Linked DNA regions of Mus musculus: region 1 is reported to be linked to region 2. Evidence: microRNA targets listed by miRTarBase, many of them from high-throughput screens and not tested one by one. Region 2 holds a microRNA gene; the other region holds the end of a gene's coding sequence.
The links. The annotated mature microRNA mmu-miR-30b-3p reads CUGGGAUGUGGAUGUUUACGUC and lies in region 2 at 1,608-1,629, opposite strand. An mRNA with a match to its seed (bases 2 to 7 or 8) in the 3' UTR can be bound and repressed. Matches are read on the target gene's strand: a 7mer-m8 pairs with bases 2 to 8, a 7mer-A1 pairs with bases 2 to 7 and ends in A, and an 8mer does both.

Region 1 (4,398 bases), not on the chromosome of region 2:
GGGTTTCTCTATGTAACCCTGGCTATCCTGGAACTTGCTCTGTAGACCAACGTGGCCTTAACTCAGAGGTCCATCTGCCTCTGCCTCCAGAGCACCAGGATTAAAGGGATGGAACACTATGAGCTGTGGTCAACTTCTTTTGTTTTGAGCCTGGCTATCCTGGAACTCACTCTGTAGACCGGGCTGGTATCGAAATCAGAAATCCACCTGCCTCTGTCTCCCAAGTGTTGGGATTAAAGGTGTGTGCCACCACTGCTTGGCATTATGGTCAGTTTAAGTAGGCCTGTGGGTCCTGGCAGAGGCTGTAAGGGAGACAGTGTATTGTGAGCATAACGGAGAGTAGTGAGCACACCCAATGTCTTCCTCTGGCATGGATGTGTGCACCACACATAGATGTAAGAAAATAAAGGCCAGGGGCTGGAGAGATGGCTCAGAGATTAAGAGCACTGGCTGCTCTTCCAGAGGCCCCGAGTTCAATTCCCAGTAACCACATGGCTCTCAACCATCTGTAATGGGACCTGATGCTCTCTTCTGGGGTGTCTTAAGAAATCAACAGTGTACTCACATACATAAAATCAATCTATCTTAAAATAAATAAAAGCTTAACAACTTTTTGTGGAGCTGGGTATCCCCAGAACATAGTTGGAGGAGTGGAGCCAGAAAGTGGCTCACACTCTTCTTCCTCTAACTGGAGAGACTGGGGGGGTGGGGGTGGGGTGCAGTTTTGAGGCACGGTGTTCTATGGCGCTGTTTCATGCAAATGCTATCCAGAGCTCATTTTGGCCCAAACTCTAGTCATGTCAGGGGCTTTTGGGTTTATTGGAGTTCCAGCTCTAAGAATCACCCTCTGTAACACCCCAGAGCTCCGGATCAGTGGACACTGAAGAGAGACTGCAGGGCAGCTTCTGGCTGAAGTGTAGGCAGGAGCACACTGCCCTAGGCCTGAGCCGCTGCACGAGTCAGTTCAGGCTCACTCACAAAGGCCCCAAGGAGTGGGGAGCTCTGTCAGACACAGGCCTGTGGGAAGGGAAGGCTAAGAGGGAGGTCCCAATGACACCTGGGATTTGGAGACAATGGGGATAAGAAAGCAGCAGTTATTAATAAGGCAAAAAGCAAAACCACTTAAAATATTTTTTAAATCAAACACTTTATTTCCACATAACAAGCGCAAAAAAACTCCCAAACACTTTTAACAATACAATTAACGAAGTCATGAAGTCAGATATATACTACTCAAAGCCCCAAACGGTCACTCAGCTTAACGGTCCAAACATCTCCACACATGGTTTTTCAAAGCTACCTTTGGTTTTTGGAAAAACCAGTATGGACATCAACACACACCGAATGCATTAAACATTTGCTTAGGTTACGGTGTCCAACATTAGCTTACACCTGGCAAGTGGAGCGTGATTTGAAGTCATACAGGTTCTGTGCCCAGAGCTCCTTCAGTGAGGAGGGGCGAAGGGCACAGGGAAGAGAGGCCAGTCCAGGTGGTGGCATCCCCACTGTGTGAGGTATGAGAGGTTAACACTAGGACGCTGTCACGGCAGTCAGCTTCGTGTCCCAATGGTCCCGCTGAGGCTTGAGATGGGCACAGATGGTGGGGAAGGTGAAGCCAGAGAAGAGCTTTGGGCAACAACAAGCTCCCACAGATGCTCAGGGGAGGAGGAGCAAGCTACAGTTCCCACTGTTCTCACATTATCTCAGGGTGATTGTGGACAAGTTCAGGTAAAATGTTCAAATATTTGCTTAGATTTTTAATCTGCCGCTCTATGAGAAGAACTCTCACATGCAGCAACTTTGTAACTTTCATTATAAAAGAGCCTACAAATAAATCCACAAAAAAGAGACAATTAATGTTGAGCAGCCAAAAAGTCATGGTTTATTATTTGAAGATTTCATAATTCAAACACAACCAAACTGTACATTTACAATCACATCCTATTGTAAACAGTTAAAAGCCACTGACCTCTTTTGCATCTTAGGACACAAACAGTTAGAATCAAGGCAATGAAATGATGGCGTATTCTGTACTGTTAAAAGTTTACCCTTGTTTAGTCTCTCTTTGACTAAGCAAGCATTATAATACCATTTGTGGGCAAAACAACAGGGGCTAGGGAGGAAAGAAATTTTAAAATGGTGTAACTCGTTAGTTTGCAACAACATTTAAAATTTTTTATACAACAAACAACTCTGTAAGCCCAATGTCTTGGTTACAGTATGCATAGTTACTGATCTCGGCTTTAAGGTACAACAGTTAAACATGAACACAGTCACAAGAGAGCAGAGACATGAGAGCCACTGATGGGGTTACAAAAGTCACCTAGCGATTAGCAAACCATCATCACTCACTACTAAAGGACAGCATCTGAAAGCAGACGGCAACTCCAGCTCGAAGCGCGTTTTTTTCTTTTTTCTTTTCTTTTTTTTTTTTTTTTCTTTTTTTGGCAGAGAAAATGTTGAACAGAGCAATACGTAGTATCAGTGCTAAAAGTTGGGTTTTCTTCTTTCCTATAAGAAACTACAAGATTTTTTGACCGGGGAACTGGTTTCCTGAGAACCATGCTCTTTGATTTAGGACAGGAATAGAAAACAGAAGAACATGGCCAACTGCTGCTCTTTTCCCAGAGATAGAAGCGTCTTTTAAACCACCCTCCTTTTTTTTTTTTTTTGTCTTTTAATTTTTTTTTTTTAAATGATGGAAGAGTAAACATTTTTTTTCTCAAAAAACAAACAAAAAAATCTGTAAACAAGAAGGTTCACCGTGGGAACCTTCAAAACAACATGGAAAGCCTGTTCAAAGTGCAGGGCCCGTCCTGGGCAGCAGGCGGGCTGCAGGTCACAGCGGTGGCCACAGTTTCTCAAACTGTAGAGCGAAATTCTTTAGTTTTACAACATGAAAAAACTGGTGCAATACTTTCATTAAGAATCCTACGTCAGTATCTTAACTTGATCTTTTCAACTCCACGATACCACACTAAGGTAGGCAACATGAGGCATAGTAGAGAGCGCACGCCTTGAGAACACCCTTGAGTAAACATCTACACTGGAACAGCTGCCCCCATATTGCCGATTAGACGGAGAACATCACTCAGTGCAAAGGTAAAAGCTCATACGTCAGCCCCAAAACGGTTTTGCAAAAAATACAAATAAAAATAAAAGGTGGGGATGGGGATGGAAATGGAGGAAAGAAGGAATCCGAAGGCTAAACATGATGAATACACAAGTGAGCTCATTCCACACGGTAGCTGTATGGCGCTGTTTGGGAGTGTAAATAGATAGATACCCTTTCACATTATAATATTGGCCTGCATGATTCAAGTATTCAAACTGATATGTTTTGGGGAAAACAAAGTGGAGAATGTGCAGAAAACAGCTGTTCCCACAGGTGCCCTGGCTGCAGGCGGCGAGCCCAACTTAGTGCTCCTTTCCTTCTCTTCGTGAGGTCACAGTTTACGTCTATACCTATGCCATTACATGGACTCCCCACCCCCACCCAGGTGGTCAACAGAAAGAAAAGCATTAATGGGGGATGGGCTGCTAATTCCCCGGGGGTCGCTGCTCGGGGGACCCCACAGGCTTGTGGAATAATGTGGGGTCCCCCAGAGGGAAGTGCCGTGAAGGTCTCCACAGTTAGCTCCCGACAGCCCAGCACCATTCCAGTGATTGACATCAGTCCGGCTGGAGAACGAGTGGGAACAGTCGAGAGAGCCCAGCCGGCTCTGGCTGGACCCGAGAGACTGCCAGCCAGGAGAAGGGGTCAGAGACTGACTTTGTGCAAAGAAGCGACTGATCTCCTCTTCACTGGCAAACTCAGCGAGAATAGTAGTGTTCCCCAGCACACACCTAGAGGAGAGGGCACAACATGAGGTCTTCTAGATGCATGGCTTCATAAGCTCAACTAGCAGTGTGACCTGCTCCGAGAGAAAACCAAGGAGGTGCAGAAGGAGCCTGGCCTGCTCCATGCCCAGAGTGAATGTTCCAGAAGGGGTTATGGGGCATCTAGACCAGGTCTGCCTCCCATAGGCAACACAAGGGCTTCTCCAGGATCTAAGGTCACGTTCTATTTTCTGAAGTAGCCTTCAACGCCTAGGCTCAAGTTATCCCTCCGCCTAAGTCTCTCCTGGTCCACATTAACCAGGTCTACACAGGGGTCTTGGGTTGGGCTTTTACTCTCAGCTCTCCCAGCCTCTCCCCTCCCCATCAGGAGTCTTGGGGCAACTTACATGTGCAGAGACTTTTGTGCCTTCACTACCTCTTCTTTTGAACTGTAACGGACCAGAGCATTTCCATGTGGGAGGTTCAGATGGAATGTAATCAGTGGGCCATGCTGCATGCACAGGGTGCGCAGAGTTGAGCCATCAATCTAGACAGAGCAGGCTGCGGTTAGGGCCTCCA
Region 2 (4,398 bases):
ATGTCCTTTGGGGTCTAGGTTCTCTCAGTCAGAGTATTTTCTAGTTCTATACATTTACCTGCAAAACTCATGATGTCCTTGCTAATAGCTAAATAATATTCAATTGTGTAAATGACCCACATTTTCTGTATCCATTCTTCAGTTGTGGTGCATCTGGGTTGTTTCCAGCTTCTAGCTATCACAGATAAGGTTGCTATGAACATAGTGGAGCAAGTGCCCATGTGGTATAGTGGGGCACCTTTTGGGTATAAGCCCAAGAGTGGTATAGCTGGGTATTCAGAAAGATCTATTTCCAATTTTCTGAGAAACCTCCAGATTGATATTCAAAATGGTTGTACCAGTTTGCAATTCCACCAGCAATGGAGGATTGTTCCTCTTTCTCCACATCCTTGCCAACATGAGCTGTCACCTGAGTTTTTGGTCTTAGCCATTATGATTAGTGTAAATAATCTCAGGGTCATTTGATTTGCATTTCCCTGATGACTAAGGACTTTGAACATTTTTAAAAGTACTTCTTGGCCATTCGAGATTTTTCTGTTGTGAATTCTCTGTTTAGCTCTCTCTATACCCCATTTTTTGATTCGGTTGTTTGGGTTTTTGCTTCTTGAGTTCTTTCTATATTTTGGATATTAGGCCTCTATGGGATGTGGTGTTAGTGAAGATTTTTTTCCTCAATCTATAGGTTGCCAATTTGATTAACTGACTACATCCTTTGCCTTACAGAAGCTGAGAAGTTTCATGACGTTCCATTTATTAATTCTTGATCTTAGAGTCTGAGCCATTGGAGTTCTATTTAGGAAATACCCACCCCCACCTCCCCAGCCCAGTGCCAATGAGCTTGAGGCTCTTTCCCACTTTCTTTTCTATTAGAGTCAGTGAATCTGGTTTTATGTTGAGGTCCTTGATCCACTTGGACTTGAGCTTTGTGCCAGGTGACAAATATGGATCTATTTTCATTTTTCTACATACTAACTGCCAGTTAGACCAGTACCATTTATTGAAGATGCTTTCTTTTTTCCACTGTATATTTTTTGGCTTCTTTTTCAAATATCAAGTGTCCATAAGTGTGTGGTTTTATTTCTGAGTCTTCAATTCTATTACATTGATCAACCTGTCTGCCTGGTACAAATATAAAAGTAGCAGTTAGACCAATCAGGTCTGTGAAAAGGGTAATGGATTAAAAAATCTTAAAATAGTAACAATAATGATAACTACCGTATGTCAAGAACATTCAACTGACATCGACTCACTTCATCAACAATCCTGTCAGGTACTATGACAATGCAATTCAGCTGACAAAGAAGTGGAGACCAGGAAAATTAATACTTTCCTTAATTATTATAGAACCTGAAGCTAGGCTTAAGGCTATTTAGCAACAAATTACAGTGATATGTAAGATTTACACTACTTCTGAATCAAAATATTGGTATCATCTATATTAAGATAAACAAGTATCTATTTTAAATAGTACAGCAAGTATTTACTGAAAACCTAAATATAAACAGTATTTATAATAAGTGCCCTTTAGCTGGGCATGGTGATATACTCCTGTAATGCCACTTAAGTCATGTATCAATATGTTAACTGGTGGATACTCCAAGACAGCTGACGTAAACATCCACATCCCAGCCAACGCATGTATGACAGCTGAGTGTAGGATGTTTACATGAACTGAAACTTGGCTTAGAGAGAGACTTGAGAACTCTTTACTATGTTTATACTTGGTTTTTTACTTGAGGCTCAGACAATTTTGCAGAATCTGTTGAAAAAAAAATTAGGCACAGTGATCTACATGAGGACAAAATCAACTTGAAAGATATCTTCAGAGTAAGTATAGAATCCACAGAAACAGCAAACATTTATCGTTCTCTCTTTCATGCTCTCTCTCTCTCTCTCTCTCTCTCTCTCTCTCTCTCTCACACACACACACACACACACACACACACGTATGGCAAGAACACAGGAATTCTATAGCTTTTCCCACCTAAAGGCAACTTACTGTTCTGACAGCATTCAACTTTCTCCACCCTTTCCCTCTCTCTAAACAACTGCACCTCCATTTATAGGAGCCCATTTGATGGGCAATACGGTGTACCAATCCCCTATTCTTCCTTAACACCCAGGTCCTTGCACCACAGGCATGGCTTTCCCATATCTCTACCATGGGCCATTATTTAAAACATGGTAGCAAGGGGTAGCACAAGGACATCTACCCCTTTCTGTGTTCCTGATTTAATTAAAAAAAAAAATCACCAAATTCCTTTACTAAACATTAAAAGTTACTCTTGGAATACTTTCATCAGGGAAGAAGTCCTTAAATTAGGAAATAAAATTACATATAACACTGTCAGCAAACTAAAACTTCCTGGCATTTCAAAGATACGCCATCACCTCAGGAATCTCCTGTTTTCCTGGAGCAGCATTCTCAAAACTAATCTATCCCCACCTCCAACTCCTTTCTCCCCTTTAAACATGTTGCTTTTTCCTGTTTTCACTACAATTACAGTTTGCTTGTCTGATTTCCTGCTGTTTTTTGTAGACACATTTAATTCTTTGGGGTGGGCCAGTCCTTTTTTGCAATCAAACTTTAGGGTTTGGCATGGTGACACACACCTATAATTTGAGTGCTCTGGATTTTAGTTCTAGAGCAACAATAGAAACTTAGGAAATAAAGCAGATTCCTAAGCTCTATCCCAGACTTACTAGGGATGGAACTCTTTTTGGGGTCCTGCAGTCTGTGTTTTAGTAAGCTCACTGTAATTGTGATGCACAGTAGTATTTGAAAGCTGTTTTTCCTAAGTACATTGGGAAGCTAAAGCACTGGCAGCAGTGACTGTCCAATAATCAGGGTGTGCATAATGTACTACTGACAAAAGTTGACAAGCTCAAAACCTGTACCTTACAGTTCACCCTCGCCAACCAGCCTAGGCAAACAATCTAAGACAGAATAAGTTTAAAAGGTGCATAAACTCAGGAAATAAAACTAAACCTGTTTTTCAAAAACTTAGCATGCACAATAAATATCAGAACAGTAATCCAATGAATGCAGTTGTAACAAAATCCAAGTTGGACCCTGCTAATGCAACAGTGAATATGTTCTGGGTTAGAGGTTTATGGTCCTTTCTCAACTACACCAAGACTATTGTTGTGCAGAGAGAGACTTGAGACCATGGAGACAATGAGGACTCAACCAAAATGTATCTTTTTTCTATGAATATTTCTGAAATAGATTTGTAGAATGTATTAACTCAGACTTTATATACTTATAGTTGTCTGCTTAAAAATTAACTCCTAAATCATACACTGAGGAATAATATCATTTGTACAATGGCTGAGAACTACCTCGACATTTAGTATTCGTTGGACCAAAATAAACAAACATACAATAGTAAATAAATTTCTGAGATTTTTAAAACTGTACCAAAATTTACACATTTTCTCCTGAAAACCTAAGTTAAAGGCCAAGAAAACAATCTGTTTTAAGTTTATTGGAAAAGAAAGACAACCCAATTTTCATGGCTCAACATTCAACTGTCAATGGTGCAGGCCAACATGAAGTTTGTGGTGTTTTTAAGTTAAAACATAAATAAGTCATCTGCAGATGACGAAAAGGCTGTACTTAAATACATAGAACCAAGAACATTGAGGACGCAAGCGGACATGGTCTCTGATTTTCTTTCATTAGGGCAGAATAATACACAACAAATGTTTCACACTAGACTAGCATTAACCCTGAAGCATCCAGGGATAACTAGACTAGGTAAGCAGAGGATGGTAGCTTTGTGCATAATGACTCCTCCTCTTTTAGCTTAGATTTGACTTACCATTTAAAAAAACACTTCAAATAATTTTTAAATAAGTAAACCATGTAGTTTTTATCCATGCCATTGAATTTTAACTTACACATCAAGGTTTTATGGAAAATAACCAATGCCACCTGGCCAAACAAAATAATTCTATTAACAGAAGACACATCACACTCTACCTTGGCACAGAGAACTTTATGGGCTCCTAGCAATATCTCTGTCCAAAAATGATCAACCAAGCTCTTCTCTTAAATTAGTCTTGCACACTACCTTTCTAACAAAGTAGTACTTAAATGGATCCATAATAAAAACTGGAAATGCAACTCAGCAGTAGGTCGCTTGCTTAGCATGTTCAAGAACACTAGGTTCAAACTCCAGCACCAATAAACAAGTAAATGGAAATATACTATTAGAATAAAATCATTATTAGAGTACTGTATATCAATATACACATTTTATACATATGGTATAAAACGCAGAATTATAAAGACATAATATCCATGTCTCCAGAAAGGCTACAATCTAATCCAGGAGAAGCATATAAGAAATCAGATTGGCAGGAACTGTATCTTCTGTTTTAAGTCTAAACTGA

Region 1: miRTarBase lists Tnrc6a as a target of mmu-miR-30b-3p. The part of its 3' UTR that is shown has no 7-base or 8-base seed match.

Annotation. Positions count from the first base shown.
Region 1 is chr7:123,192,027-123,196,424 of GRCm38, reverse strand. It overlaps Tnrc6a (trinucleotide repeat containing 6a), which reads right to left. Exons shown (of 24, transcript NM_144925.3): 23 at 4,227-4,366; 24 at 1,129-3,846. The coding sequence ends at 3,474. Among named protein-coding and RNA genes, the nearest start is that of Slc5a11, 21 kb to the left of the region's middle.
Region 2 is chr15:68,335,824-68,340,221 of GRCm38, forward strand. It overlaps Mir30b (microRNA 30b), which reads right to left and starts at 1,687; the gene lies at 1,592-1,687.